2 linked regions of the Drosophila melanogaster genome follow. The protein of the gene in region 1 interacts with the protein of each later gene in a pairwise test. Each region holds a gene or a part of one and is shown in the gene's direction. Other genes may lie near its edges. The genes, in order: ImpL1 and tmod.

Region 1 (15,601 bases):
AAGAGCTCATCAAATTAACTACACGCATCTGAAGAACTTTTGGCCATTTTCACTTGCTCTACATATTTATTATTATCTTTTTTTTTTTGTTTGTGTGCTTAGTTCCTCTTCTCAATTTCATTTTGTCAGTTTTTGTTGGTCCTTCCTTCTGTGTTATCCTTGCTGACATGACATGAACTGTAGTTTATTTATTATTTCTCTGTGCCTCATTCTTCTTCTGGCTTCTTTTCATTTTATTTATATCCTTGACGCATGCAAACATGTTTGTATGTGTGTGTGTGTGCGTGTGCGAATCGGGTCATGCACTCACACACACTCATTTGTATGTCCTGTACTTTATTGTCAATTGTTTGTGGCATTTATTTCGCAATTGTTTTCCTTTATTTTGTCACTTTATTTGCTCGGCCGGTGCCTCTGTGCCAGCTTTTGTTCATTTATTTATTTATTTGATTAGTTTTTATTTCATGACAATTTTTCGTACATATCATATAAACTGCTTCTGTTTCCTTCACTTTTTTCAAAAAGACTCGAACGCCTATTGCAACAAACAGAAAGATACCCAATTGAAATCCAATTTAAAGATAATGAAAAAAGTATATTTATGCTAGGAGAGCATTTCACTCAAAATATTTCATAAAAATGTATTTCAGCAAAAAGTTCAAAAAGTTTTATAAAATAAAGACACTACTTTTAAAGTGTTACTTCTTCCCTCTTTAGTATTATTTTTTATATTAGTATTATTAGTAGTTTAATATTAGTATTATTGGCAGTTCTTGCCATGGGAAATTAGCATTATTACTTAGACCGCTGATAGAAAACCATTGATGGTCAAATTACACATCCTTTTGACCCATTTGCTGTGCGAATAATTCATTCATCGTTTGACCATCATTTAACCATTTCAAAGTCAGTTGCCGGCAAGGACTTCATCATATGGTCTGCACAAACACAATAAAGGTCCTTCTGCAAGGATCTCCAACCATTTACCCCATTTGGCTGCAATGGGATTGCATTACTTTGACTGCAGCATGATGCAGAGGTGGTCGGCACTCGGGGTTCGGGGTTCACAAGCGGAACTCTGGCTGTCAGGACAACCATCCATCCGATGTTATTTGGTCGCCCAGTTGACTCCTCGCCCCACAGTCGATTGAATTGCCATGCGGCACGTGCAACACGAATGGAGTCCCTGCAATCGTCCTGCGCATACAAAAGGAGGCCTCCGCCCAGCCCGCTAAAAGCTGATGATGATTGGGAAGAGCAAAGGGTGGACGATACACTGGGTGAAATTCGCGATTTTTAATACGCTTAAAATTGAAAATGTGCTAATATTGGACAATTTCCAGTGTACGACGTTAATGAGTGCCTTGCATGTGTAAATGCTTTTTATAAAAGTGTAAAACGAAATTCTTGAATTTCGAATCATATGTATTACAATCTGCTCATATATATATTCATATATCATAAATATTTAAACTCCACTCTACGTTTTCTTGATAGCCTCTTTTTTCGGCGTGTAGGAAGCGGCTCTAAAAGGTGGAGATGGTCGCAACTTCAACGCGTGGCTTCAACTCAATTATCAAACTTTTAGCTGCCAATCCGGGAACTCGCGGCAGGGACCACCTGCCAATGGATTCTGAATCTCCACACTCCGCGCAGACAGGCTGAAACAGACGTGTGGGTTCGAAACAAACGGAAATGGATTTTTGATTGAGTGCACAATAATATGTGAAATGCATTTTACAGACCGAAACAAGAGCAATACACAAAATGAAACAATACAACGCAGTGAGTGGAGTTTAGTCGTGTGTATTTTATTATATTTTTGCATGAACGAAAAAAATATATTCGCCCACCTCCAAAAAGAGAGCATTTTAATTTGGAGCGAAAAGTTGCAATTTATTTGCTAGTCCGTCCATCACGAAAGTCCATTTATTTCATTACAAAGTGCATAGGTTTTGGGGGATCCCCTTCTTTCGATTCTCACTCCGCAGGATATTATCCTCCGTCTGATGGCTACTTCGGCTATCCACTTTATGGCGTATATTTGGCCAATTTATTGGCTAGCCTCATGGCTAACAAATTGCAAACACAATGACGATGAAAAATTATTGCGTCGTTTATTCGATTGGGGACTATGAAAAAAGTTCGCCCCCCTCTGGCTTGACTTTTTCTGCATTTATAATTGGAAATTTATAAAGGACGGATCATAAAACAAGCTCAGCTGAGGGTTTAGTCATAAAAGCCGCAAAACAGTTAAGAATAATTACGCGATGCCCTTTTAGGTTATCAATTTGATGGAAATGTATTAAACATTTAATTTGCCTAAGTGGAAGGATAAATGCGATTGTTCTCAGAACTGTGGAAAGTGTAGGAATTTTAAAAATTGATTCTTTGATACATATGTGAGTTTAAACATAATTTTGTGAACTTCAGCCAAAAACTTATTGACAAAAATACAAAAAATATATTTGCCAAAAAAAATTGTTTATTCGCCCTGCTTAACCAAGAGTAAATTCATTCCCAAAGAAATCGTTGCCAATTTCGACCATTTCCCTATGGCCAAGTTTGTGTAGCCAACTTCTTGGGGCAATCGCCGCAGATCGATGTCTGGCACTGGCTGACTGAATCTCGGTCTAGACGTCGTCTAATGACAAACGCAAACCGCAAGAGATGAAGGACATTGAAGGAAACGTTATGCAAGGCAGCCGGAGCCAAGTCAAATGGAAATGCCATGGCTCCCCGTCTGGCAGCTAGATAAATAAACTGAACTTTAAATGGATGCAGTGACCCATCGATGACTTTTCAATGGTCTTGGCTAATTCCGGCTGACCACACTGAAAAGAAAAATCGCTATCTTACAATCATGTTCGAAAGAACAGTTCTGAAAAAAAAATTAAGCAAAAATGTATTTATTAAGAAACGAGTTGAATTGTACCATCATTATTACTATACCTTTGCTTTTAAATTTCTGATTTTCAATTCTATTTTTGGTAAATAATTTGGTATTATTATTTCTTTATACGCAAATCTATGACTTATTTTTCTTTGTGTAGAAAAGATGGAGCAGTAGAGAGATATGAGGACCCTTACAACTTCTGTTGGGCACTGAGGCGAAAGAATATCTCTCGAACCGAAAATCATAAAATGCATGCAAAATAAACCGAAAAAGTGGCGCATCATCATTATTTATTCGATATTCCCCCCTTCCACTACCTTGACCACCACCTTAGACAAGAGACTCAATCAATGACGACATCGGCTTTTAAATTTGTAGGGCCAAGAGATGGCGAAGCGAAATTTGCATAGAATACCAGAAAAGAGAAAAGTAGAGCCAGACTATTGAGAAATTAATATGCAAATTTCTGATAGTAGAACTTCGCATTGTTCCCATTCAAGTGAAATTTCTCAAACCAAAAACTTTGCCTTCTCAGCTATAAAATAGAAATCGCATGCCAAAAGTGGTTTCAGTATTATTATTAAGCACGAAACATGAAGACATCTTGGAGCTTTAGTTGCGGAGGTGCGTTCCATGCGAAAATTGTGGTATACGATGTGGGTTAGGTGTAAAGGATTTTTTGGTAACAGCTAGAAATGTGAATGTAACTTAGTGAAGTGAAAACAGATCCAAAGGCAGCTCTTGCCTTCAGGAAAACCAGGCGTTAGCAAGAAATTTCTAGGGGGACAGGGTCGTCTTCTTGCCAATTTCCATCGAATGTGCTTCTAGAACTATCCATGGTTTTGGAGAATTCCACGAAGGATATACGGGTATCCCCTGCTGAGTTTGACTGGAAAAATCGCCACAAAACCCCGAGGATCTGTGCGAACGGCGCTAAGTTGGCTGTCATAATTGAGGATTAAGCCGGGTGCGCGGATATCTTGCTAGTCATAAAGCCATAAACGAGACGGGGAAATTCCCGGCGACCCGGATCCCTTAGAAAACCCGAATGAAAAGCCTGTTAACAGTTTTTGGTTTACGGCATGCAAGCGCGTGACTGGCACCCGCTAATTACCTGGACCAAATATACCTGTGCGGAGGATCTACCTGCCCACCGGATCCTTTAAAAGGACCTCACCCCCTGGTCGGGGCATCATTCACTCCTGAGACTTACAACCCGCAACACACCATGATTGACCAGCACAAGCGCAGCCACAAATCAGAGAAATCCAGTCGCAAGTCGGGAAAGAAACATTCCGACAAACCACACAAGGTGAAGACCCACGATCCGCTCAAGAAACAAAAGAAGCGGGCTCTAAAGAAGCTCCGCCGCAAGTCCGCCACCGTGAATTTCCCGTACCAACTCTTCTTGTACCGCCAAGAACTAAGGCGGGCCAGCGCCGACTTTTCCTATCTCCGGCTGTCCAAGGCCAAGATAGTGCTTACCTCCCAACTAATCGCCAAGAAGATGGGCAGCTGCAATCCCGATTGCAGCGTGGACGAGCTTAAGGAACTCAGCCGCGAGGTGCAGTTCCAGAAACGCCTCTGCCATCAAGTGGAGCGCCTGCAGCAATTCCGGCAACTGGGACTCACCGAGATGATCCTCAACGGCAAGAAGACGACGCTGTAACCTGTGGAATTATAGAGGAAAAAGTCGGATTGAGCAGGCTGTTAGGCTGGGATGGGGCATTATTATAAGTTAGTCGCTAGTGTTTAGGTTGTAATATTTTATCAAATAAAATATCACATGGAAATTGCAAAACAAAATATTTTTTTTTCAACCGATGGGGAAATGTTCTTTGTGATAATGTTATTCATTTTAAATGTCTTGCCCTTTAGTTTTGCTCCTGTGTGGGATTATGTGCTCTGGCCAGAATGTAACGAAATCAAACAATAGCCAGGACATCATCACAGTGAAGGTCTTGCCGCAGTCAATATCTTCAGATCCTTCAACTGGTTCTTCCAGCTCAACCACCGCCACACCCACAGCCACAACTCCCAAACTAAAATCCAATCCTACAGCCAAGTCCGCCATACAGGCTCACGAAATCGAGGAGGAGGACGACGACTTCCACAACGATCGTCTTCCCGCCTTATCAGAGGATGAGTACAACAACCTGAGTGAGGACGCCAATCCGCTGCACTTCCTTAAGCAACAGCCCCTGGATCTTGAAAATGTGGAGGTGAGATTCCTTCACATTTTAGAAATCTATTTTTAAACAACTGTCAAATAATATAAACAATTGTAACTCAATCTATATATGAAAACGTAAATTTTTACGTCGTGTGATGAAAGTTATATATTTGTGAAAATTAATTTATTTAATTTCTCGCGCAGGTTCCGCCAAAACCTGAAAAAACAGATGCCCTTAAATTATATACTTTATTAGTATAAATATTTATAATATGATCACAATTTTGCATTGTAAAAAAAAAATTAACTAATTCAAATATTTCATATTTTCTCCATTTCTTACACATTTTTATTTCAATACCCATAATTTATGTTCCTATTTTTTACCGAAATCCAAAAATTGTATTCAAATTTCTTTATTTTTCAGCCGCAGCAGAAGCCTGAATCTCAAACCGAGAGTAAGCCAGATCCGCAAGTGATGGCTCCACAAACCGCCGGCTCACCCATCTACATAACCATTCCCATTTACATAAGCACGGGCGGTAAGCTGCCCATTAGTTTGACCATTGGAGATCAGGATTTGTCATTGAAAAAGGAAAGCGGATCTGGATCCAGCAAGAAGAATCACTCTACCAAATCACCGAACTCGTTCTTCAATCGCTTGCTGCAGCAGATTGAGTCTCCCAAGAGACGAACCACCAATCGCCATCGCAGCCAACTCAAGAGTCACGTATATGCGATGAAGGAGATGGACAACCAGGGGAACAAGGATGGCAAGAAACTCAAGATTTTGCTTCATAGCCCAATGCAATAAACATGTTCAAACACTGATTATGGCATACAATTTATAGTTGGCAATAAATAAATGACAATAAATAGCTGAGGAATGATGTGTTGATCCTAATTTCTAGACTAGACAGCATTGCTGACAGGAGCCGAAGTCGATGGGGCAGACTCCTCCATCTTCATGGGTTCCACTGCCAGAGTCTCCTTTTCGGAAACGACAGCAGGGACCTCAACTTCCGGGATCTTTTCCGCGTTCTCACCCTCGGGCTTCTTGTTATCCTCGATTGTGGTTTCCGTTTCGGGAATAACTGTAGATGGAGTTTCCTCTTCATCGTCGTCATCGCCGATTACCTCCTCGATGGCCTGTTGGATGAAGTGTTCGAACTGCTGGAAGTACTGCAGAGCATTGTTAGCCACCTGGGCGGTGGGCAGATCGGTGGTGACCTTCTTCAGGGCATCACGAATGAGCACGAGTACGGGTTTTCGTGTTGGAGCTGCTCCAGTGGTGGCATCCACCTTCTGATCCTCGTTGGGAATTTCGGTGGCTGCCTCCTCCGAAGGTTCCTCAGTGGTCTCCGCCTCACGACGTCTCCGGATCACCGAGTCATCTTCGTCGTCGTCCTCTTCATCATCATCGTCATCCTCGTTGGTCTCCTCCTCCACCTTTTGAGCCTCATCCTCCTCTTCGTCATCGTCTTTCTCCTCACTGCTATCAGCACTGGAGTTTACAACCTGCGGATCCTGTTTTGAGACGGCTAACTCCTCAGTGGCGTTGGCTTCCGTCTCCGCCAATGGGGCTGCACCAACAGAGCACGTCAGCACGAAAAGAGCGGCTGCAATCGGAAACAGACAGATTAGCTAAGATCCACAAAAACCTAGAGATTAGCTCAGCTCACCGAGGGCCAGGTAAATGGGTCTAACCATTGTGGTAATCCTTTGCTTCCAGTTGGCTTCGTAGTGGACTTTTGCAGTTTTGCGGTCTTTATGAGCAAATCCAGCACACTGCTTTCGCTTTTTATAGCCCCTCCAAAAATGAAAGTAAATGCGAGCAAACAAGGCGATCCCAAAACGCTCCGCTCTCTGCGAGATCTGAACCCGGTCTCTGGAGCCGACTATCAGAGCGTTGTCCAGTCGCTTTTACTGCACCGAAGCTCTCTATCTTGGGTTTCTTTCCTCCCACCTCGGCCCATCTCATTTGGTTTCTTTCTTTTCGTTGAACCTCTTTTGTTTACCCGGTGGCTTACAGAAACCCCAAAGAAACCGAAATCATTTATTTAAATTTTCGGTCTTTCTGTTTTCTGGTGACTTCTTTCATAAATCTGTAAATTTGACGTCTATGGTCGCTGTGGCTTCGATCTGTTTGTCTGAAAGATTAACGCCTTTTGGCAACCGTAACGCGGCAGTCTTCGGCTGATATGCAAAATTGCTTACAAGATCACTTAGTCCCCTTATTTCTTGGGATTCGGTCAAAGCACCAATTATGTAATTAGACACGTTTGGCGTCTCGGCATCGATTTGATCGCCCACAACTAATGCATCGCAGATCGGTTAACTTTCTAATGCTAATGGGAAATTTGAAAACTTTTCCATGGAACTACGTATATAAAATAAACAAGAAGTGATCACGAGCTGGATGAGTCATCAAACTGATGGTGGTAATAACAAATGCAATTATGAATGGTTGATTAACTGATCATAAGGAATACATGATCATTAGAGAGCGGTGATCATAAGTACACGAGAGAATGTATGTATGCTGCAAACTAATATATACTTTTCATATGTCAGTCTGACGGTCAGCGAAACAGATCACTGAGGCACATTTCAGTTGAGCCCGATCTAATTAAGATCACAATCGCCATCCATGGAGGTGATCAATTGCGCAGATCAAAGATCAACAGAGATCGGCGGAATAACAGAATGACAACGCTTGATTGGACGTGGATTTCCTGCGAGCGAGTGCAGCTGCCGGCGATCGCGGTCAGAAGAACCTCATAAAATAACAACCAGATCACCGAACCTTTCCAGATTGACCCAATTTCAGAGAACCGGCTCGAGAAGCGGCCGAGCTTGGGAGGCTGGGCGTCGAATGGAGGGCATCGAAGGTGTTAAAAAAACACACACACACACAACCAGTTCCAGATCCGAGACATTCTAGATGGCTATCGCTGGGAAGGGTACGACCACAGCCACATCAGTTTGCATAAAATTTCACCAAATATAATATAGTATGAGTACCAAAAAGTTGGCGTACTTTCGTTCGGACCTCGAGACATCGCGAAGTGTAAACAAATCTCGAGAAGATGTGGAACTCTTTGAAAGAGCTGCAGTGGGAAGAAAACCGGTAAGCCCCTAAAGAATTCCCCGCCGAGTGGCTAAGACTGGTACTTAAGCACCGCTCGCCAGAAGATGCGATCAGTTGTTGTGGAGTCGAGCAGCTGACCAGATCAACATGAGGCCATACCAAGTAGTTTGCATCGTAGGTAAGTCTCGCATATCGAAGCTGACCAGTTCTGGAAGTCCCATAATTAACTGGTATGCGCCCATTTCCTTTTTAGCAGTAGCAGCTCTGCTGCTTTTGGAGGCGATTCCCGCGGATGCAAAGCGGCGCAAGCACAAGGGCTCCGATCATCACTATGAAAAGTCTGATCCCCACAAGACCAAGACAAAGACCAAGTGGTCTAGCTCCACGGATTTGGCTGGAAACACTCCAATTTCCACCGAAGAGCACGGCTACTATGTAAAGCGCACCTTTGCGGCTCCCGGTGAGATTGGAGCCGCACAGAAGCGTCTAAGTCCCCCCTATTTGGCCATTCCCATCGCCTGGTTCAGCTGTGAGTCGGGCCAGAAGAATTGCCAGTCTTCCAATTCCGCGGCTATCAACAGTGCCGCGCAGTCCTTGAGCGAGGGCTATCTGTGCGACGATGATTGCGATGAACTGTACGAGCCCATCTGCGGCAGGACCACCTCAGAGGTGGCCGTTTTCTACAACAAGTGCAAGTTGGGTGTAGCCAAGTGCCGATCCCACGGTCTTTGGACGGACTTCGCCTATGCCGAGTGCCAGGCGAAATATCCGCAGGAAACTGCCTATGCCGACAAGAAGTTCCGGTCATCGCCTTATTTCCGGGATGCGGCCATCGTGGAGCAATTGAAGCTGGAGGAGGAGAAGCGTAAGCAGGAGGAGGAACAACACAAGCTGGAGAAGGAGCAAAAGAAGAAGGAGAAGGCTGAGAAAAATAAGAACGAGAAGGACAGCAGCGAAAGCAGCGAGGAGAAGGATGACCAAAAGGAAAACAAGCAGAAGGATCCCCTTTCCCTAATGCCACAGAAGAAAGTGGAATCCACCCAGAAGCCAGTGCCAGTTCCTATTCAAGTAGCAGTTCCAAAACCAGTTTCAGTTTTGGAGCCTGCAAAGACGACCGAGGACATCGCTATGCCGCCTATGCCACTGAAGGACACTCCCACGCCCAAACCTCTGGAGATCGCGCCCCTTCACCAGCAGACCCAACCCAAGGGCAAGGACATTGATAGGCTCAAGTACCAAGTAGCTTAGAAAGCAATGGCTACACAAATCTCACCTAATTATAGTATTTATTTAATTTATTACAACAAATAAAATTCTAAACAACGATAATCATCTATATTTGATAAACAAAATGGGTTTTTTTTAAATACACGCTTTGTAGTTTAAACGTGTATTGGACTACAATTTTTATGGCTAACTTTAATGGTAACCCGACTTTTATATTGTCATAAAAATAAAAATCATAAGATCTGCTTAGCACTTTTATGTAGATATTTTATATGGGATCGAAACGCACTTTTATTTTCCCAAAGTCAGTAAGAGTGTCTTCTTAGTTCTTATGACTCCAGACCAGTTACACTATTTTTCAGATCCCTTGAGCATTTAATTACTGAAATAGGTGCATTGTACATTTACATAGCTATATCTTTGGAAAGACATTAATCGGGATCCAACATTTCTGTGACAAACTAGTATAACTCGAAGCAGATTTAGTAGCAAGGGGAAAGGTGTGTGCAAAATTTGTAATGGGAATGAATACACCTATGATTCTTAACGAACTCATTCTTGATAATTCTTTATGGCCTCTAAAGAACTTTGTGTGTTAAAGTAACGGGTATAACAACTTCAACTTTACATATATATCTTTCAATCAGATAATTTTCAAAACTTTCTTAGAGGCAAATTCACCTCTTTGTAATTAAATTGAGAAGAATTCTAAGGCGATGCAGTTGCATTGAATCAAGTGCATTGACCCCCAAAACAAGTTCTATAAACTGATTGATATCTGAAGCTTGAAAGGGCCATCATCCATTGCCAGGCACTAAACCTAAAAACTAATTGGGCGTGGGATGGACAATGCAACAGGTTGCGGCTGGGTTGCCTATAAAAGCAGCGGGATTTGTGTCACTTGTCACAGAAGTTGACCAACTGCAATGGGAGCCACTAGTGTCGGAGTTCCAGTCTGGAAGATTCAGCTACTGATTCTGCTGAGTGCAGGTGAGAATATTCTAAAAGTTGTAGCTTGTGGTATTTAGTTTTCCTCTCCTAGTTGTTCTCACCATTCAAGCTGCTCCTGTCGAGGTAACCGAAGGAGTGACCCAACCCCCAGCCGAGAAGCTGCAAACGGAGTCTCGTTCCCGTAAAGATGAAGAGCTGGAACTAGAAGAAGACCTGGATGGACGTAATGCCTATATCAACAATCAGTTTGTGCCAAGCGAACCTGCAGAAGTCCTAGAGGATGTGCAGAATACGCCGCTCTACGAGATCCTTCAAAAGCAGATGGAACAAGTGTTGGCCTCATCGGCTCCCAATGACCCTGTCTACGAGCAGCACCGCGAGAAGCAGGATCGTCGCGATCAGAAACCACCACACCAGCCACCGTACTTCTCCGGCGGAGATCGAGATGGTGATCTACAGGATGACTACGAGGACGAGGAGGATCAGACGGATCAGGGTTATCCGTCGGACCCCGAGAAACCGGACGCCGTGTCAGATGCTCCCGAGGATGAGGACCCAGGCTACCAGGCACCTTCGTTGAGCCTTCCAACCACCACCACTCGCAAACCGTACAGACGACGCAGCACAACCACTTTTCAGCCACGAACCACCAGGACAAGAACCACTGCTCAGCCCAGGATCTCGGAAAGTCCATTGAACCAAACCAGCACCACAGAGCAATCACCAAATGTGACCACCAGCACTCCACGGCCCAAGATTGGTTCCAGCACCAAACCCAAGGCAAATCCTCAGCCGGGAAACAGCCTGCCAAGTGACCCGCAGGTTTACCAGCACAAGCGTCGCATCATCTTCAAGACCATCTCAACGGGCTCGCAATTCGTCAACTCGCCAATTGGCGACCTAATGATCAAGTTCTCAATCGGATTTGCCAAGCCAACCACTCCGGGTGGAGCTACCAGCACTGCGGGTTCACATAGTTCGTCCAGTGAGGCTTTACGTGCTCTTTCGCAAAACTTAATTCGAAATTTTGAACTTCAAAAACTAAGAAGAGCCAATAAAGTGCAAAAATATTAGATATACATTATTAACGAAAACAAAACCACGGGTTTTCAATTGGATTCATGTTTTAATGTACTAACAACAATGGATTCGAAGACTTTATGAGTAGTAGCTATATTTCGAACAAAAGATATTTTTAAAACCCTCAGTTGAAGAACTTAATTCTATTCTATTACCTCAAATTCAAAAATTTCGAATTGTGTTATAGAAATTTCATGAATATTTTAATCACCACAACAGCAATTGCTTGTGCAATAAGCAAAACATTCGATTTGGAGCGAGGTCTGCTAAAATTATTCCAGCGGGAACCAATCATTGATCTCCAAATTGTTGAAAACAACTTGAGATGACGCCATAAGAATATACATAACCAAATCAGAAAATGTATTCCGTCACGTACGAGAATTTCGAGACAATGACAATAGATCCACATGTACGGTTCGTGTTTAGTAGAGTTAATACACAAAATGGAGGTGAACAGTCACAGTAACAACAACGTCATAATCCGTAAAGGAACATGGTTAGCTACCTTAGAGTAAATATAATCTAACTGCCTTGGCTATTCGGTGCCCAATCGTTGTTTTCATCGAGTCTCATAGGTTGGTTAGTTCGCTAGGCGATATGTAAGCTTCATAAAAATATATCTATGGAGGGTATTTCACCGGCGTTATGAAATTATAAATGGTTAACAATTGTACATATATACCTGTCTAAAAGGCTTTATGAGGATGGGTTTATGTTTAACACGGAATTCAATCTTGTGAGGCAGCCTTTGACATTTTTAGCTATTGAATGCAGCTAATCCTAATCCAAAACAGCATTAGCGCACGGGCCAGAATCTCTGGGCCAGGAGAGGAATGGTGACGCCGGTGACGATGCTGGAAATCAGGTTGACACTATGGTTGTCCAGGATGCGCAGTCCGCTTACGTGGCGCACTCCCTTTCCAGGTGTATCCACAATCTTGCCTTCCTCATTGATGCCCGAGAACTGCAGCAGACCACCTAGGACAGAGTCCAAAAGGGACCCAAAAAGTCCAGCGATGCCACCGAAGGCGATGATTGGCCATTGTGGTGGGCTAATCAGAAGCATTTTGGCCTCAACCGTGTAACGAACGGTGACGAAATAGCCAAAGCCGACGAGCAGACCGCCGAGCAGACTCACCGCGACGCCGAGCAACGAAACCCCACCATTGGTACCGCGCGGCACTCTGCGCCAGGTGATGATAGAAACTGGATCGCGTTGCGACAGCACGGATCCTAGTTCACTGGACCAGGTGTCGCCATTGCAACAGGCAAACGCACTCATAACGGCCACACCCAGCCAGCTGGATCGGTATTCTCGTGCGAAGTCCACCGCCCGCTCGCCACTACCGCAGTCCAGCAGATAAAGCAATGCAAGCTGGGCGGCCATGCCTCCGTTGCAGAGTACCTGTATCCAGTTTCGTTGGCCTTCGCCCTCGCGAAAATCGCTCTCGAAACGGCGTTTCATGTGCGCGCGGAACTTGGTGGCCCGCGATGAGCTGAAGAAGAACACCACCAAGCTGGCGAAGAACGGATGGCTGGCGATGGAGAGAATGAAGGCCACCAGAATGCCCAGCGCAGCTCCAGATCGGTTGACGCTCCTCCGGCGCAGAGCCACAGTCATCAGGGCCAAGGGCGCCAGTGTGGAGAAGAGCCAGCGCACCGGCGGAATCACCCGGGACTCTGTCGGATAACCTTTTGGCATTAGTTGACCCCAGGTAACGTTCGCACTGGAATCCATATAGCTCACCCTCAAAGTCACTGCTCCAGAACTTGGACAGCGCCACATTGCCCAGCCACATGAACAGCGAGATCGGCACGGACAGTCCGCAGAAGAGCACTGGCATCCAGTCACGCATCTTGACGTTTTATGGGCGCTGTTTATCGCCACTTTCTCCGGCGGGTTTTGTTTATTTATATGAGCCAGTGATGCCGTTGACTAGTGTTTGAAAATACCAAATGTTAATGTGTCAAATGTATGGCAACCTGGCTTTTAGTTCAACGAAGACTCAACCCATTCCGTTTTTAAATGAAGATTCAATTTTAAATAAATTATTTTGAAAAATAATTTTGTTTCTATGTAAAAATTGTTTATTACTTTTATTCTTATATATATTATAAATTCGAGTGTGCTCTCAGTATTTAAAATCTTGTTTAGGCATTTAAATGAATTCAAAATATCCAAATAAAGTTAATTTGAACACGATTGTTATTAAATAAACATATTTAGAGAGTAAGATCTTTACCATTTTCTTTTTAGGGGTATGAGCCATCGGAACCCCTTTGAATATTTTATAAAAATAAATATATTTAAACGAAAAAGGGTATTTACAGCAATCATTTTAATTTTAAATTGCAAAATAAAATTCATAGTGATGGATCTAAAATTGTTCAATTGCTTTTTATAAAATGCGTCATACAGTGGAGCAGATATATTTAATAATTTCACAATTTAATTATCAAGGATCGCTATTAATTATGATTGGTACATTAATTTTAACTACGTTTAATTGTATTTTAGGGAGCTTAGAAGGCTATAAAGAGTATATGCCCTCCAATCGTCGCACACGCTCATCGATCGAGTCCAATAGTTTGCTGATCTCGTCCAGCCGCGCGGAACAGGAGCACAAGTCCGACCCAGATTCGATGGACACATCCAGTACCTGCGGAATGTTCGGCTGGTTATGTGCGGCAAAGGCTACTGAACGTGTTGGTTAAAAGAAGCGCGGACTGGAGCTATGCTGTTTGAAGTCCATGCCGTGACCGAGCACCTTCTCCGGCTGCGTCGAATGTTTACTGTCGAGCACCTGAAAGTTTTCTTCCGAGAGCTGATAGGCCAGCGATTGGCGCGGATCAATGCGGATACTAAGGTCATTGGACTTGGATGTCGAACTGCCTTCGCTCTGTTTGGAGGAAACGCCACTGCTTTCGCAACTGGAGGAAGCCAGCGCAGACTTGGCTTCAAACTGCGAAGCATCATAGGTGTGTAGGTTCGACTGCCAGACCAGGAGCTGCAAGCGAAACAGAAATCAAGGAGTAAAATTATCTTCATACCTTTATTAAGAAACAGAAACTCACCTGGCGATCACTGCCACCGGTAGCAAATTTGTCGCCATCGCGACTGAATGCCACCGCATTCACCGCATCAGTGTGGCCCGTCAAAGTGTAGATGGGTCTTCCCTCCAGCAGGTCTAGGATGCGGATGGTGCGGTCGTCACTTCCGGAGAGCAGGAAGTGTCCGCTGGGATGAAAGGCCACATCGTTGACCGGCGCCGAGTGCACCACGTAAAGCTGCAACAGCTGGCTGCCGGAAACGTCAAAGATTTTGATGCGGTTACAGCCGAGGGCGACGGCCAACATATTGCCCCACGGATGCCAGGCCAGTTGCCGTGGAGCGGCTCGTTCCTCGGTGAAGGTGCGCACGCACTCGCCGCTGTCCACATCGTAGATCCTCACCGACTTGTCATCGCTGGCGGTGGCCACCAGTTTGCCATTGGGACTGAACTTGGCGCTGCGCACCCAGTTGTTTTGCTGTGCAAACGAAGACACAAACTGCCGCCTGGCAACGCGCCATATCTTCGCCGACTTGTCATCGGAGGCGGTGAGCATCAAGTGACCGGTGGAGTCGAAGTCTACGCTGCGCACCGCCTTGCTGTGGGCCACAAACTCCCCGGAAACGCCACGCAACTTGGGCTCCCAGATCTTTACGGTGCGATCGTGTCCGGCGGAGGCCACCAGGTTGCCCTTTGGCGACCAGGCCACACCGTTCACCGGCGCCGAGTGCGACGCAAAGCGAATGCAGCGGGCCGCCTGGTTGAGATTCCACAGGATCACCGTTGAGTCCGTGGACGAGGTGGCGATCTGGGCGCCATCGGGACCAAAGCGCAGCTGTGTGATGCCGCCCGAGTGGCCAGTGAAGTGGCGCTCCAGTGCCGGATCCCTGAACAGTCCTTGCATCTTGTCTTTAATTTAGACTTGTGATGGGAATTTTTGACAAATCAGTATTGCTTTGACGCTGAAGTTTAAATGAGAAAATTGCGTCGTCGATTTTTGGACGCGTTATTTGAAATGATCGGTTATCGGAATTTGAATCGCGTAGGCCCAGTGTAACCGTATTTCGATTACTGAGATATACCAAGTTGCCCGATAAATATACTGAATGACAGATGTTAAAGCGCCATCT
Region 2 (16,987 bases), on another chromosome or scaffold:
ATCAAATGCGCTAAACACCAACTTGACTGGCACTAGAACACTCTCAGTTTTTGTGTTGTTTTTTTTTTTAAGTAACTCGGACTCCCACTCTCTGGGAATCAGCATATATAATATATATACTTCTTGGATATATACTTTGGGATAAGCGGCGCTCACGATGTTTCTGGCAGCGCGTCGAAAGTCGAACTGATGGTTCGCCACATCACGAAACTCGCTTCGCTCGTTTTCCACTTCGGATTGGATTGGTGGAGCTTGGAGACGGGAGAAAGTTCTCTCTGGAAAGCTCCACAGCCTCCCAATCCCAGAGTGAGCTGAGCTTTTTGAGCTTTGTAAGCGGGGTTTTGAAAATACGTGTTTCTTAGAACCGCGGGGGAATCCCACAATGTGCTTTAGGGTTTACCTGTTGGCAGCGATGACTCACTATCTTTGGTACTGCGGAATCCCCTCAAGTAAGAGAAAACCAATAATCCAAGATGTTGTATCTAAAATATTTAAACTGAATACAGGAATAATGTATTAAAAGGGCTATATTGACTTTAGGCGGTGATATTTACCGTTTTCTTTCGTTCGTTCAGTTTACATTCTCTTAAAATTGAAAATTGCACTTAAAGCACTAAAGCTGTGATGGCTGTTGGTTGCTGTCCTCACAAAAGCATCCCGGCTAAAAGCCTATTGAAAAGCTTTTCAAATAGAGCTTCTGCTATAAAAAAAAACAATCGTACCATAACTTAGCAATCCTTGACCACTTGTTGATCCAACGGGCTGAGCAAAAGAAGACCATCTTCCCACTGCAGAAGAAAGTTTGTTGAATTTGTTAAAGGGAAATTAATGTTCCACCCAAAAAAGAAAACTCATCAATCTGCGGCCAGCTGCTCGACAAAACTTTTTCCCCAAATGAAGTCAAATCGAACTTCGGACGAATGCGAATCCGAACTGAAAATAACCGAACCAGAGCAGCAGAGCATTGGTTTTCAAATTAAAAGAGCCAGCCGAGTGTGAAGCGAAAGTTTGCAGCAAACGGAAACGAAATTGAAAACTGTTGCATACTTCGGGGCGGAGTAGGACCTCAAAAAGGAGGCCTAGACCTAGCACCATCCCCTGGACCACACAGAAAAGCCGCACTGGGCGAAAAATGATTTCCGTTCATAAATCATCATAATGGCGAAGCAGGACCCGGCACATGTATGTCTGGCCAGAAAAACAGGACCAGAACCAAATGAAGATGAAACCATTTGACCAGCCCACAACGGTGGGTTTTCCCGAGGGCCGAGTGGGGCAAGGCCTGCGGAAAAGTGCGCCCGTGCGCGTTTGTCCGTCACGCACACAGAGAAGAAGAGGCAACGCAACCAGCAAATCGATTGGGACAAAGTTGTCGACTGAAAGATGTTCAGTAACTGCAATATTGAATATTTACCTTTAAAGTATATTGTTATTGTTATATTGTTTCTTAATATTAATATCACACACCTAATTCTTATAATAAACATTTTGATAATCAGATTAAAGCTATTTTATTTCAGAAACAGTATACAATTTTAAGTTTATGGAGGCCTTTCGTTCCTGACAGTCAATATACCCTACTATCTCAGTGCCAACGTATGCTCACACACACACACGTGTTCTGTGCGTGTGACGTCAACAAATGGAGCTGGAACGAAATGAAACGTTTTAATTAGACAAAAGAGCAAGGCAACTATTTATTTCCATTTCTGCTTCGACTGTTCACTGTCCACAGCCCGCAGCTAGCTGCAGATACAGTTCCGACTACTGGCACAGATACAAATGCGGAATACTTAGCAAATATTCCAGTCCAACCCACTCTTTTAGCTTGCGGCATGCAGTTGATGATAAACCTTCTTGGCCAGAATAGTTGCAGCTCGCCCCCAGTACCACTCTTTTGAGAGAAGCCACTCTAAGCTTTTTTTCAACTGGAAGAAATGATATCGATATCTAAGGCTATATCCAAGTAAATACAAATTTTTATGCAGGCCTAGATCTATATGCTAAAAACCAAAGCAAATGTTATAGAATTTGAACATAGCTGTCAAGATATAAGCCATCTAATGTTTGGTTTTTTACAGTGTTCTTTTGCGGTGAGTGTTGAGACCCACTTGGATTCCGATAAGCGAACATTTTCCGCAGCATGCTTGCCAGGGCAAACATTGGCAATGGCCAAAGAATTGCTGGGAAATTGCTCATTCGCCGGGTGTGCGGGGCCAGAGATTCTTCGCCATTGCAGATTTATGCATGCCAGTAGTAGTAGTAGAAGTAGTTGGAGTAGTTGGCTACCAGATTAGAGACATTCCATTGCTTCCAGCCAAGCTGCACCTAAAAGTATGCTGTGCGAATCCCTACTGTTTGCAGTTTCCGCTTTAGTTTCCCCTGAATTGCATTCCCAACCCAGCCCATTACCAATCCATATCCAACTATCCGGGTGTTTGTCTTTTTCTACACTTTCCGGCTGCTGCTGCTAACTGCATTTCGCTTCAGTTAAAAGGAAAATCGCAAGTCAAACAAGTCGAGTGCTGGCGAATCTGAACCTTACATCGGTCGATTGCCAGCTGCTGTTCCCCGATTTCCCGCAATTTCCCAACCAGCCCTCCAACAGCTCAATTAATGGACGGCAGGCAATGAAAATTCTCCAGAAGTTGACAGAAATCGTTTTTGGGCCTTCCGCTTCTGCATGTCGAGACTGAAACTTTCTTCATTTCCCAGAATCATCTACACATGAATCTTGGCAAGGCATTTCCCTTGGTTTTATTTTCCCTCTAGGTCAGCGAGAGTCAACGACACTTGGCAAGCGGGCCGCATTCAAAGAAAACTCGTGATATAGGGAGGGAAAAGCTCGGAATGGGAGGAGTACACAAAGAAAAATATATTCAAAATCGGCAATCAATTTAATACAGCAAACTGCAGACTTGAATTTGCGCTGTGCTATTTGAAATTTATATTTTACAGTTCCAGAGAACCTATGACTCTCATATAATCTAATAACATTTTGAGATATTCCTTTTCTCTTTGTGCTAAAAACAGGCAACGTTAGCTTGTTGGATTATAATAAAAAGCACTTCATTTACTTTGTGCAATTTACAACTGTGAAATAAACAGGGAAACGCCAAGGCCAAGGAGCTCTGAAAAGTGGCTGGGAAAAGGCAATGTGGAGAGGTTCCTGTATATATGGCCGGAAAAAAAGGAAGTGCGGTCACGCCTCGGCTGCACATGTCACCCCTTTGTATCTTGTATCTTTCTGTATGTCTTTGCCGTCACCGCTTTGTTTTATTACCAGTTTGCCTCCATTCAGAGCAGTTCATCTCCATCCAGTTTGTTTTTCCTCGCCTCTGCTTGCCCTATAATTTATTTATGCATGTATTTTATTAAAGATTTCCATGGCGTCGTTCCGTTCTCATTCTCGTTGTCGTTATCGCCGCTGTCGTCATAGCAGGCCATCCCCAGTCACTTGTTGACAAAGAAATTACTTATTAATCATATTTGAGCGCTGATTTCTCGTCGCCAAAGGATCACGAGCAGCTGTGATGGGGAGCACATGTGCGTGCATCCACAGAGGGCTCCAAAAATATAGCACTTAAAACATATTCGAATAAAATGCATTAAAAGTGTGTTATAGCAAGTAAGTTAAGTATAACATAAACCGCATCTCAAAATGAAATCATACAGATATATCATTGCATATGACTGATTAATCATTATCCTTATTTACCTTAAAACCCATCCTATTTGCCTAACCCCCGCTGTTCGTGTGTGGGTGTCTGAGTGGCTTTTGATGTGTGTTATCTCATGTTATCCTTTGGCTTCCTCTGCCGTGGCTTGTCTGTCATCAGTGTGGTTTTCCACATCCAAACACACAGATGCAGAACAGGACCGTCGAGAGGGGAATACGAAGGAGTTTGCTGCTCTATTTCGTGGCTCTATTCATTACCCAGCGCCCGCAACTCCGCCCTGCCCCTGATCCCATGCCACATAATTGCATTTGCTCATCAGAGACACATCCATTGGATGTATCTATATTCAGGCATTTGTCCCGCATCATGTCGCTGCGTTTGCCGAGCTGAAAAGACATTTTCGAGAATTAATTTTAGAATATTCCGTCTTGCGTGTGCTTGGCGCTTTGTTTACACAGCGCTGCGGGGAAAACCGGGGGTCCGTTCGAAACACTTGTCTTTCATATATCTTGTGCAGTCCGCGATGCGATACAGGAAGTCCGCACATCGCTGTCAAAACTAAAGCCCCCAAATGCCAGCAATTGAAAGCGTTCGCTAATCAAAAATCTAAATCGGAATCAGCACAAAATCAGAAATCGGACAGAAGGCAGAAGGTGAAATCACTTGAGATGGGCATCTTCCGACAGATGCCCCTGCCACAAGGCACCCTGTACAGGCCCCGCTGGCTGTGATGCACTGCCTCCACTCGCACATCGAACGCTGGCCACGGCAAAGGAAAAAGGGAAAAAAACGAACGGAAAATAAAGGAAAAAAAAAGAAAAGCGCATGAAAAAGGAAAAGACGGCGTCAAATGCCGCCCGGCCAAATGGCCAGCCGGATCAGCCCAATGTATTCCACCCGATTCAGAGTTGTTTGCCCACAGAGGGTATCGATGAGATGTCTGGGCTTATTGGAAAAAAAATGTTGGAAAAAGGGAAATGCAACACGGGCTTATGGGGATAGTAAGTCCCTCTGATAGAGTGGACAAATTGGTTTGTAAATTAATTTTAAAATCTATCTAAATTCAAGTTTATAAGATATTTTTACTTCTTGAATAAACATTCTATAATTCTTATTGTAAAACTCTATTCTTACTATCAAAATCTCTTTTTTAGGTATTCCAAAGTCGGAAGATATCACTATCTTCATCCTTGGCTGCCTCTTTTTTCTGTCTATTGTTAAATCCACCCAAAATAGCTCCACGCACATTGACGAGAAGAGTGCGTGGGTCTTTGACGGGGAGTATGGAGAGTAGGGGGTATGCGGAGTAAGGGGAGTACAGACCATATGAGATGGCGAATGAGGAGTGTTGGCACTTCACGGCGGAGTTTCACATTCTGACGGGCCTCAGACGTCCGGCAGCCGCACTAATTGCATTCGCCTGGTCAAACGAAGAAATTGCAACAGGCGGACAATTAGCGAGCGAACTCATTCGCATTCAAATTTCACATTTGCTCAAAGAAAGAACAGAAATACTGCACTCAGAAAAATGGTTAACTCACTTCTTACTTCATTGCAGATATTTTGATATTTTATAGAACTCTGGAGTTCAATTTCGGAAGGATTAGGATACATGTGGGATCACAGCCTTGTACTTTTACTTTTTAACATACGAAATATTGTCAGATAGTTTCCTCTTTTTACCAAATAAAGCTTTCTAAATGTAAATCCAATTTGGTAGGATTTTCTCTCAGTGTAGAGGCACACAGTGTAGAAAAGATCGGAACGAAGGCAACAAAAAACTTTTGAAACGCGACGAAGATCAACGTTCAAAATTGAGCAGACGTCAGCAGCGGCAGCAGATCGGCAGAGAACTGAGAGTGAGAGTGGAGGAGAGAGTGTGGAGAATTGCTGGCGCTCTCCCGAGCGCTGGGGGTCTCGGGCCGTCCCGCTCGCACCTGCGGCTAACACATTGGGGGCCTCTGCCCCACTAGACCCTCCGGAACTCAGACCGTCTCGCTCTGCTCTCCGGCGTCGGTTCCGGTGGCAGACGGCAGAAGATTCTAACTAGAAGAATTAGAAGAAGCTAGGACGGAGGCAGCAAGTAGAAGACCCGTGATCGTGTAATTCGCCTCGTGTGCGTTCCGTTGTTCCGTAATTATTCCGGATTTGTTTTCGAAACAGGCTGAAGTGATGTGATGGGATTTCGATAGCTCCATCTTTCAACTTGTTTCGCTTTATCCGCCTTTTGTCACCACGGCTCTACGTTATTCCGTTGTCCCATTGTTCCGTTCTTCCGTAGTCCCATTGTTCCGTAATTCTCCGTTCTCCGTTGTTGTCGCGCCTTTCGTGGCCGCTGGTCGACGTTACGTTTTTACAGTTCGATAATCGAGCACTTCCCGAGAGGATCGAAGGCTCCAGGCATCTGCGTAAACCACGAAGGATCTACAGTACCTCTAAATATACCGCCCTTAGGTCGAAAACAAGTTACTAAAAAACCAGCGCGCCGTGAAATTCCTCTTGTTTATATAATAACCAGCGGCTGCCAAAAGCCCAGCGGAATATACAAAAAATATTCATTTTTCTAGCTCTGGTCGTTTGTATTTTTCAGGCTAAAAGAAAGAAAATAAGAAAGAAGAAAACCCAAGCAATTCTGCGTGTTATGTGTTATCGTTGTGATCAGTGATCCAGTGATCAAGTGAAAGTGAACACAAGAACGTGAGAGAAAGCCAAGTGAATCAGCTCGACTCCAATCGAAAAGGATATAAATCAGAGACAATGTCGGACATTGAGGATGTTTTCGGTGGCTCCGCCGAGGAGACCAAGCCCGAACCCGATGCCCAGAGCAAAACCAGCGTGGTCACCGAGCACACCGAGGAGGTGATTCCCGGCGAGACCGAGAAAATGGTAACGGAGACCATCGATGAGGATGGCGATGTCGTGGAGGAAACCACCGAAGTTACCCGCAAAACGGTGAAGCGCACCATGAAGATCACTGAGGTGAGTGAACTCTGACCCATGGATCCATCTAATAGCCGCCATTATCCATTAACTAACTTATTGTGCGTGTGCTGAGTACAAACATAATTCGAATAGCCATGAAAATCAATATGTATTCTGAATTTGAAAACCGTTCAAGAAGCTATAAAAATTCGGGAACTTGGGAAATTCTTAATGGAAACTATTTCCAAAAGCTTTAATGTTAAGTGCATATTCGCAATCAACTTAAAGAACAGTTCGTTAAAATTTATTAAGCATGGAAATTTTTATAAAAATATTTTCGATTCAAGTATTGTTTACCAAGCTTTTGGTGGGGGGATATATGCCGCAAAACAACATCTTGTTTTTGCATTGAATTTATATAAAAACATCGCATATTTTTGCGAAAGTAAATGACATTCCATTTTACATATTTCCGAAAATATTCTTACGGAACTACAAGTTTAAACCAAAGAATCCGCCCAAAACTGAATGATTTCCTCAATAGTTGGCCACCCCCGATCGTTTGGCTTATGAAAGACTATAAATCATTATTCTCATATTCTGAAGGGATCTTCTGCCGTACTGGTCTCCTCGCTTGTGAAATTGGCCAAAACATGGCGAACTCTGGCTATACATTATTTATACCAAGTGCCATTTCTCTATGTGCGTCTTAGCGAATTGTTTATACGGTCCCACGAATATTATAAATCTTCCCATACATTATACATCACACACACCGCGGCACAGATATAGACGGACATATAGGCGATTATATACACATATACATATGTATGTATATGTTCGGCCACACTTTCTATAGGCGACGTTGCCGGGGGAAAGCCAACAAAAAATACAAATTTTGCAGCTGTTTGATTTCGGCGCAAATTATCACAAAAGATTTCAAATGGCATGGCGTATAAAAAAAGCTGGGAATTAAATTATTATTAAGCAGAAATCACTTAAATACTCGATGCCGAGCTATGCCAAAAAATCCCCACACTCGAAGAGAAATGGCAAAAAAATTAAATGCAATAAATTCTGTGCCGCCAACAAATGCAGAGGCAAAAAAACAAGTATCAGACCAAAAAAAAAAAAAAACAAAAAAAACATCGAGAAGAAGGCGAAACAAAAAATAAATATTGAGGTTTCCGTGTCTTGCGGTCTGGCGCGCACTGGGCGAAAGTTGGGTGGTGCCGCATGGGGCGGGTGGTGCAAGTGGTGGGGCAGCAATTAATTGCCACAAATCGTTGCACAAAATTACAAATTGCATTTCCGGCTTGGCGCGGCGGCCACGCACTTCCACCCGTATTCCCCACTACCGCTACCCCACCCCAAACCCCGCAGAAAGTCTTCGATTTTCCCGCCGCTGTTTTACGACTGTCTGGCCCCCCTCGCCCCTCGCCGGGCGAAAAGCAAAACACCGCCCGTTTTTCTTTCGTCGAGTTTTATGGCAGCCAAATTAAATTTGCATTGCAATTTACTTCTTTTTGGGTCGGCCTCTCGGCCTTTTCTCGTTTTTCCGTTTTGCCGTTTTTATGGGCCCGAAATGGAAATGAAAACGCATGAGCTCAGCCAGCCGGAGTCCTGCGAATGGGGCAGGGATAAGGATGTGCTGCTGCCAGGGCATATGTTGCCATATACACAAAACAGGATCGTATGTGCCTCGCTCCGAGCAGCTTGCCGAACTAATTGCGCTGCCAAAGTCCGGTTTCCTTGCCGAAGCTCATGAACTGCTGAACTGCTGAACTGCCCAAGCCAGCTTTCCCCGCTCACTTTCTCCCGGCGGCATTTCCTGGGCGAAAGCGGCTAATGAGTCACGTACCGTTTTTGTCATTTTTATGCGCTTAACAGGTCAAAGTTCCAGCCGCAGGGATACGTGACCAAAGTCGAGTTTGAGTTGAAAATGCAAAATTAGTTAAATAAAGTCGGAGATACGCCGGGCACTTTCTCCACTCCCCATCCCCACTGCCTTTCGTTATCCTTAATTCGAGGCGAAGCGGAAAACTGTCATAAATTTCACAGTTGATTTCACCGTTGTTTCCTGATTTGATTAGCTCATTAAACGACGGTAATTTGTGCGGTGCGGGGTATGGTTCAAGCCTCTGTGTATTTGCTTATAAACTAAACAATAAATATTAAAGAGAATGACTAAATTGAATAAAATATTCATAGAATATTCATGATTGATTAGTTTCAACAAAATCGAACTCTCAATCTATTGTCACTGAAAATTCAACATCAAATACGCCCAATTTGCGATTATTAAATTATCTGATTATGCGCCATTTAATGCAAACATTATGGAAATGCACCACTATTTAATAAACACCCAAACGAGCGACTTTGCGGTCGGAAAGTTCGGCCATATTATTCCTGCCGACTGGAATGTAGTTAAGCAAATCTTTGCTCAGCTCCGCCGTTCCAATCAAATGGGGCATGCTAATTTGTGCAACAAGCCGTAAACTCACATAACCGGACACCACATCCATATTACACATGAGCCCCATGCGGAGATTGCTGGGATAATGGAATTTCCTGTGGCCTCCAACGTCCATTGTCCTGCTGTCCCGTCCAGTATTCTCTTGATTAGACATCATAATATTGAACGGAGATTAATTGGAATCCGTGAGGGGCCAGCTCAGCTCCGAACGGATTTATTGTAGTTGGTGATGTTTTCGGGGAAAACCATTCAGAGTTTTCCGCCCGATTAGCCTGGCCACGGATATTCCGCTGGTTGTCGTGGACCACAGCGATTTTCCCGATGATTTTATTGCGCTAGCTGGCATATTAAATTGTTTTGAATTTTGCCAGCGAACTCCGCAAATGCGGCCAACCACAGCGCTAATCAGCGCAGGGACAGCTGTCTCTGCACCACCCACTATCCCGTCGCCTGGACCACCGACCGCACCGCCCACCGCACCACCAGCCACTCCCACAGATCCCTGCGCCCTTCACCCCCTTTTCATTGACAGCTGTCAACGCGGTGGCGCCTCTTGAAGTCCAAACATATATTTCACTGGCAGCCACTGAAACGTGTGTTGTGTGTGTGTGACTACACTGAGATATTTTTTGATTTTAGGGTTTAAAACTTGTATTATTCGTTACTAATATATATACCATATACCGGATAGGTTTTTTACCCGAGTTGTTTAGTTTGAAAAGATCGAGAGTTATGGATGTTACCACAAATAGTGGTACTAAAAAAGGGCCACTCCCCAACGATTTCTCGCAGTGCATGGCAAAGTGTGTATTGGTTTGGTTGAAAGGCGTGACACAACAAGACGACATTTCAATGTCAGGCGTCTCTTGGCCTTTGACGCTCGCTTAGCTTCCATTCACTTGTTGCAGTTCCCAAGGAGATTTTCCCAGGTCCCACCTCCACTCCCTCGGAAAAGAGAGGAGAAGCCCACACCCACCTCCAAATTTCGAGTACATTTGGTCAGTTATTTATGCGCTTCGCTTTCATTTCGGTTCGCTTCGCCTCGTTCGCGGTTCTGTGTTTTATTTATTTGTGCCTTGGCTGTTCAAACAATTTATAATTTTAATGCACACACTGGCCCCGCCACTGAGCACTGAACACTGAATACAATCGAAATATGTTTATATAATTGAAAAGCAAACGTTTTGCGTGAAAACATAAGGCGAATATGTGCGGCGTATATGCTACAGCATTCATGCTGGGGTATATAAATAAAGCTGCCAAATTGTGTACACGGGGCGTATGATGAACGTGCCATTTATTTTGCCGAGCGGTTTGCCTTCTCTCTCGCTCCGCTCGCGCTGTCTCACTCTGGCGAAAATCCGCCTTATGACTGGCATATATTTCATTTAATTTTCAAACACTTTGCCCTTCTATTTATTTATCCAGATCAAATCGAAAACCGCTCCTTCGAATCCAATTCTTTGACCTGCCGCAACGGAAATTTGCCCATTGCTCAGCGTCTTGAAATCCCCTGGATTTCGGATTTGGATTTTGCAGAGCGTTACATCTCCGCCAGAACAACAAACAAATAATTTCATTGCCTGCCATAGGCTTCCGCCAACTTTGGCCGGATATTCTATTGAGAATTTATTTCAATTACATTGGGGCGCGCCGCAAAAATCTCGACAAATAAAATTCATTTACAAAATGTTTTGCGTAGTTTTCTCGGCTCTGAGCTCCGAGACAGAAGGGAAAAAAGGGGGTCGAAAGAAGGTTGTAGAAGAGCTCTGTCTATTTGCAATTGGATGAGGAAATTGTGCAGATTTTCCTGAGCTCTTCTAGAGTTTCCAAAGCCCGAAATGCAAATGAAAATAAGCCAATTAGTTGGAAATTGGCCGAACTTAAGGGATCACTTTGATTAAACAGAAGCAACGGCCTCAGGTTATTAGCATTTCGCTAAAATTAATACAGTAACAGTACGAACGCAATTGGCAAATTAGTTCAGCTGAACAAACGTTTGTCTAACCCAATTCAACAATAAATTACCAACAGCCCGACGACTGCAAACTGACATTTGCTTGTTTACACAGAATCATCTTGCGTTTTCTATTTTCCATTTTCCATTTTCTATTTTCCACTTTCCCCCTTTCAAACGCACGCAGATAAATAATCCCCATAAATTACTATTTCCACTTGATGATGACCAAACGAGCCACTGACCCCTAAAATCCGCTCCATAATTCCATATGCCGAAAATTGACATTTGGCCATGTTCTCAATTGACTTGTTTTTCAATGGTGCAGTGCAGAAAATCTATTCATTCGGTCTATCCATTTGTGACTATCCCGCCCTTAGGCTCAATTTCTACATTTCAGGTGGTTTATACAAATATGAAACAGTTTTGGAATTCACGATTATCAGGGGTACTTACCCATTTTGAATAAATATTTGCATTGTTCAATGCGCTTGAATGAAATGGGGAAAATTCAATATGTAATTAGACATATTGTTAATTCTTCAAAGGATTTTCTGAGAACTCACCCACCCATCGGCATTAAGTTCAACTTTTTAAATTAATTCAGCTCTCGCATTTGTTTTTCCATCGTGAACCATATTTTTCGTGCTGCAAATTAACGAATGTAATTACTGCAGTCTGGCTGCAATTTGCGGTTAATGCGCCCATTAATATTGAAACGAAAAGCGGCACCGGCTTTAATTGCGGCCAAGTGGCCATAAGTTCGAGTTAAGAGGCCTCCTGCAGAATCGGCCACTTGGCCCTGACAATGGATGCCATTTCCATTTCCGCTCGTCGGAAAAATGAGGAGGAATTTACGTGAATGTGAAAGGCGCGCGAGGAATATTAGCGAGAATGCCAGGAATTTGTCAACGGCGAGAAATCGAAAGTTAACCCCACTCTGGTCTATGTAAATATATATATATATATAGAGCAGTATTATAGTATCGAAACAGCAGATACTCGACGTCAATTGGCACTTTGATTGCATTTCGATGCAGTTTCCGACTTGAATTTGCGCTTGCATTCGGTTAGTTGCATCGCAAAAGCCACAAAACAAAGCAGCGCGCATCGCGAGCCAATCGAACCAACCGAAACTATTGATTTATATAGATCTAGCCCAGCCAGAATGGAATGGATTGGAATGGTTTAGATTGACCAGTCTAGCAGTCAATCAGCCAAATAAATAGATTAGTTTCGTATCCCTCCCCCGATTTTCGTGACGTGCGATCTTCTGGACATCCGCGTGTGTGTGTGCGTGTGTGCCAGTGAGATCCAAAATCTATATATACCATATATAGCTTCCCATTCAGCGCAACACTGAGATATTTCAATTGAATTTCTGCGCAATAGCCAAGATTGCCCCACACAAGATAATTTCTGTTTTGGCAAAAGCGGATTAGACCCCCAGTTACCCCCCTTCGGTTCCCCCCACCGCCGGGGCATCAATAGAAAACCACCCAATAGAAGCCATCAGCAAGCCAAGCAGTCATCATGGCCATCACAGACGATGCGGTAAGTCGATCCCCGGGGGGCACAAAAACGGAACTCGAGAGGTCCATTGTTGCCAGGGATTTATTTGAATGTGCTCGTCCATGCAGTTTTCATTAGAAATTTGAGGCTCCGAAGGTGCACCTATTGTTGTTGATGTCCGTTCGGTGTTCAATTGAAATTAGGGACCAAAACCAAGGACATACTATAGAACTAAAGCTTGAATGATGAATTTAAACATGTTGGTTTTAAAGACTTAACCCCTTGGAAAACCTATTATGTATAAATATACTCGCATTTCAGTCCTCCTTTTTACCACTGCTGTTTCTGTTATGAATCACTTTTTAATAGGCCACCTCTTCAATCACTCCCACCCGATTTGGTTAGAGGACGAGTTAATCTCATAAATTACCTTTTCAGTTACTCAGCTTCACAGCTTCACCGCTCGTGTCCTTAAAGTTTTCCCACTCAATCATTCGATCAAATTGTGTGCCACACTTTCAATGGTCAGTTGGCCAGTCTCCGCCACTCAACAAATTAAAACCGCTCGGGGGTGAGAAAATCCATCGACTTAGCTAACTGTGCCGCACGAACAATGCCCCCAAACAATTTCCTCCAACAAATTTTCCATTTTCCAAAAAACAACCTAGCGAGCGGCTGAAAACTTTTCCCTTGCCTTGCTGTTCTTGCTGCTGTATGTTTTCTTTCCTGCGCTTGCCACTTAGGTGCGAAAATCACTTGTCAATCTTTTATGTAAAGAAGTCGCCGTCGTCGGTGCTTTTGTCACCTGCACCGCCCTGCGCCACCTGCCACGCCCCTCCGCTCATCGTCGCCTCTCGTTTCGGTTGCTTGGCTCGTAAAATTTTGTCGTCTGCTTCCGTTTTCTTCGCACTTAATTGTGTCTGATCTGCACTGCAAGAAACACTTTTGAATTGAAAAATAGTGTTCAAGTCTAACTACAAAGCAGATCATCTGAAAGAGAAAGAGAGTGAAATATACCTTAAGTTCAATTACTAACTCTTAAGCATGCTACTCTAGCCAAGCCCAAGTTTTTTTTTTTCAGTGTAACTTTGGCAGGCGTTGTGCGTGCGGCGTTGTATCGTGTTGTTCGTGGCGTTGTTGTGGTTCAAGGTGATTCGACATCGACAACGACGCTTCGACGCATCTTTCAATCAGATATCCTCCGATTTTTCCCGCCCCCTTTTTCCGCACCGCCCGACCCCGGGGGGCAACCCGTTGGGTTTCCCACTGCCAAGGACTCCGCTTCGGTCGCCCGCTTTTCTGGCTGCCTTTTTCCTCTTTTGCTTGCCTTGGCTTTGGTCTGTTTATTTTGGCTGCGGGTTGTTTTCTGCCATCGTATTTTTCACTTAATAAAATTGTTTTCATTCGGTTCGACCGATGCCTTAACTTAACCGCTTCTTCTTGCCTTTTCAATATGTTTAAAAATAAACGACGACTGCCGCCCCCTTTCCCGCTCGGAGTTTTCCTTTATTACTTGTACGCTTAGCTGCTATCGACACACTTCTTTATCTGCCGTCGGCCATTGTTGCCTCAACCGCCCCCTGCCCCGCCCCTTTGGCCCATCATCTTGATGTTTGTGCTTTGTGTTGGCTTATTAGCAATTTGGCTAAGCAGTTTGCGGTCTCCTTCGCAGAGGATCGCTTAGGCAGCTCGGAAAAACGCTGGAAGAAATATTCAAAAATATATAAAAGCGGTGAAAAAATTCCTTTTTAAATTAATATTAAATATTATGAACAGTATATTACTATTATTTATTTTTTTATTGTTTTCATTTTAGCAGATTTTAATATGAATATTTTTTCCTTCATACTTCATACTTGCTGATGACGTGACTTGCAAATATTTATATCTAACCTTGCAGTTTCTGTGCAGTTTTTCCGACTTTTCCTCGAATAGCTTTTGTTTTCTTGTTTATCCCTGCTACTCGGCTCTAATCAAGAAATGTATATATATTTACTCTCAAGCTAATGCACATTGTCTTAATCAAAATTTTTACCTGCAATTTTACCTCCAGCTTTATTCTTATTTAATCAGAGCGCCCCATGAGCGATTGAGATTTTGAGGTGTTAATTTGATGAGTGCTCCCCAATGACTTTGGGTGTTTTGTGTGGTGTTTGGGGCTGAATGCATTAGATTGATTAAATTCAGACTACGGTCACTGCAGTTCCCACGCACTGACCAGATTTTCACACACAACGACCAACTTCCCGCCCACGGCCACCCACAGCTGCAGCTGTCATGAATATTTTCCCACCCGCAACACCCAGTCCCCAATCCCCAGCCCCAGCGCGTTGGATGGTTTGAACATTTCGGAAAATCATTTCCCAGCGCCATTTCCCCATTGTCTTGTTCAGCATGCAGCGTTCGCGCAATCAATCAAAACGCGCCATGCAAATGGGGAAAAGAATAGGAAACAGACACATGAACCTGTTTATAAGCAATAAAACGAAGATTTTATGCTCTTGTTTAGTGCAGAAGAAAGTATTTCATTAAAGGAAAACTGGTTGCCAAAGATAAAAACGATTAGCCTCGGGCATAGTTTTACAATTTTTTATTGAAATTGTACTTTCTGAATTGTGGTTATACATTTAATTTATCATTTTGTTTATGCATGCTTTTTGCTTGGTCCCATATTACACAAAATCTGAATTGCCATGTTTCAGTAATGGATTTAATTACGCATGTTAATAACTTGCTACTTTTGGTTCAAGAGCGCTGATTTATTTTATTTAATTTTCTCTTCACAACGCGAAGCAAATTAATTTCATTCCAATGAATAATTAACTTATTGTTAACTCTATTATTTATGATGCCGTGATAATTTCGGTTATTCTGGTCACTTATCAAAACGCTGATCCTGAAAGTATGCAATGAAAAGGCTGCTCTTCAGTTATTAATATCCAAAAGGGAGTGCAACTTTTACGTATGCCAGGGAATTTTCTTGCCCGTCTCCTCGGTTTCCCTTTCTATTTTCCCAGCCTGACACCCCAATCTTCTCCAGATTCTCCAGACTCCAAGCAGAACCAGCAGAACAAACAAAGCAAAGTCAGCGAATACTGCGGATATGCAAAGGAATCGAGTGAAATGGCGAGCAAGCAAAGCAGAAGGCAAACAAACACCCACATATGTGCATGTTCTACAAACAGAGATGGCTGACAGCTGAAAATGCTCGCAATCTATCACAACATACAAAATATGTTCCAAAAGATTTTCAATTTATTTTCACTAAAACGATTTTCCCCGCTTGCTCGTTTTCCCCGCCGCTGGTCGAATGCATTCGGCGATATTGTCGATGGTTTTGCAATAGAGGGAACCGAGAAAACACAAAGAGCCAGTGAACAGAAAATCAATGAATAGAAATAAAATTGAAATGCGCGACCAACTGCAAGTCCGAGCGAAGTTGATCGCCACATGTGCCTCTCTAATTAGTTGTCTGCCCCCAAAAAATAGCTTGGGGAGGTGGAAAGCCCAGCAGAGAAAAGGAAAAACTGATCCCGGAAGTGGGCGACGACATTTAAACGCTGCGACATGTGAACAACTGCAATTTGATTGCTAAATCGGCTCGCCTCAGCTATTCTGGGCCACACTTCTCGAAAACACACAGCTTCGATTCTGGGAGCGCTCAACGGGGCGTATGATTGATATTCGACACACGACAGCTTTCGAAACGTTCTTCGAAAGAGAGCGTTTACTACTTGGAACATTTGTAACAATTAATCAAATTGTTATTCACTCAAATAATGTGTAGTTTGAATTTCTCCTTCTTTTCATAGCCAATTTAACCAAATATGACTTGCAGTCTTTTTCAATCTTGTGATAATTTCAAAGTGCGTTTGTGTAATATACTACCCACTGTCCAAAAACTATTAGCCGCAATCAGAAATGCATATAGCCAGGGGACAAACATCCATAAAAACGTCAGATGACTTCGGGTCCCAGGCCATAAATCAACTGGCCATTAGCAGGGACCAAATAAATTGGGAAAAATTATTAATTTACACGAGTCCAACATGCAAGAACAAACGCCTGCAGGAGAAACCACTCGAACAGCTCGTTAAATGCAAATTGAAAATCAAAAGGCAAAGCTGAATCTTTCGGCCTCCGGGTTTATATATTTCTGTCATTTTTATGGTTGTCAACGCCTGATGCTCATTTTATGGACATGTCTTTAATGGACTCTATAGAAAAGATATTTTCGAATGCATACATTTGTAAGGGAGCCTAATCAAAGGGTTTTATTTATATAATTGTACATAAAACTGAATATTTTTATGGGAAGATAAGGTAAACGTGTTTCAACAAAAAATGCATGCGTACAGCGGTTTTTTTGCCATTACTTGACTAAAAATGGTCATATAGCTAAATAGATAACTTTTTTTTGCATCTAATTACCAATTC

Evidence for each region.
Region 2: the proteins of ImpL1 (region 1) and tmod interact in a two-hybrid assay, tested with the Drosophila melanogaster proteins (one large-scale study listed by BioGRID).

What each region holds. Positions count from the first base shown.
Region 1 is NT_037436.4:13,374,498-13,390,098, forward strand, and holds ImpL1 (Ecdysone-inducible gene L1), read left to right. Parts: upstream 1-8,272; 5' UTR 8,273-8,307; coding exon 8,308-9,408; 3' UTR 9,409-9,502; downstream 9,503-15,601. Other genes in the region: CG14111 (uncharacterized protein), read left to right, coding at 3,490-3,520, 4,775-5,118, 5,497-5,883; SNCF (SoxNeuro Co-Factor), read left to right, coding at 4,125-4,565; CG14107 (uncharacterized protein), read right to left, coding at 5,982-6,688, 6,752-6,779; CG14110 (uncharacterized protein), read left to right, coding at 10,314-10,377, 10,430-11,412; CG10171 (uncharacterized protein), read right to left, coding at 12,218-13,113, 13,169-13,277; Poc1 (proteome of centrioles 1), read right to left, coding at 13,953-14,081, 14,226-14,429, 14,497-15,375.
Region 2 is NT_033777.3:30,526,849-30,543,835, forward strand, and holds the start of tmod (tropomodulin), read left to right. Parts: upstream 1-5,988; 5' UTR 5,989-6,134; exon of another isoform or gene 6,135-6,247; 5' UTR 6,248-6,437; coding exon 6,438-6,659; intron 6,660-12,110; exon of another isoform or gene 12,111-12,571; coding exon of another isoform or gene 12,572-12,592; intron 12,593-16,987.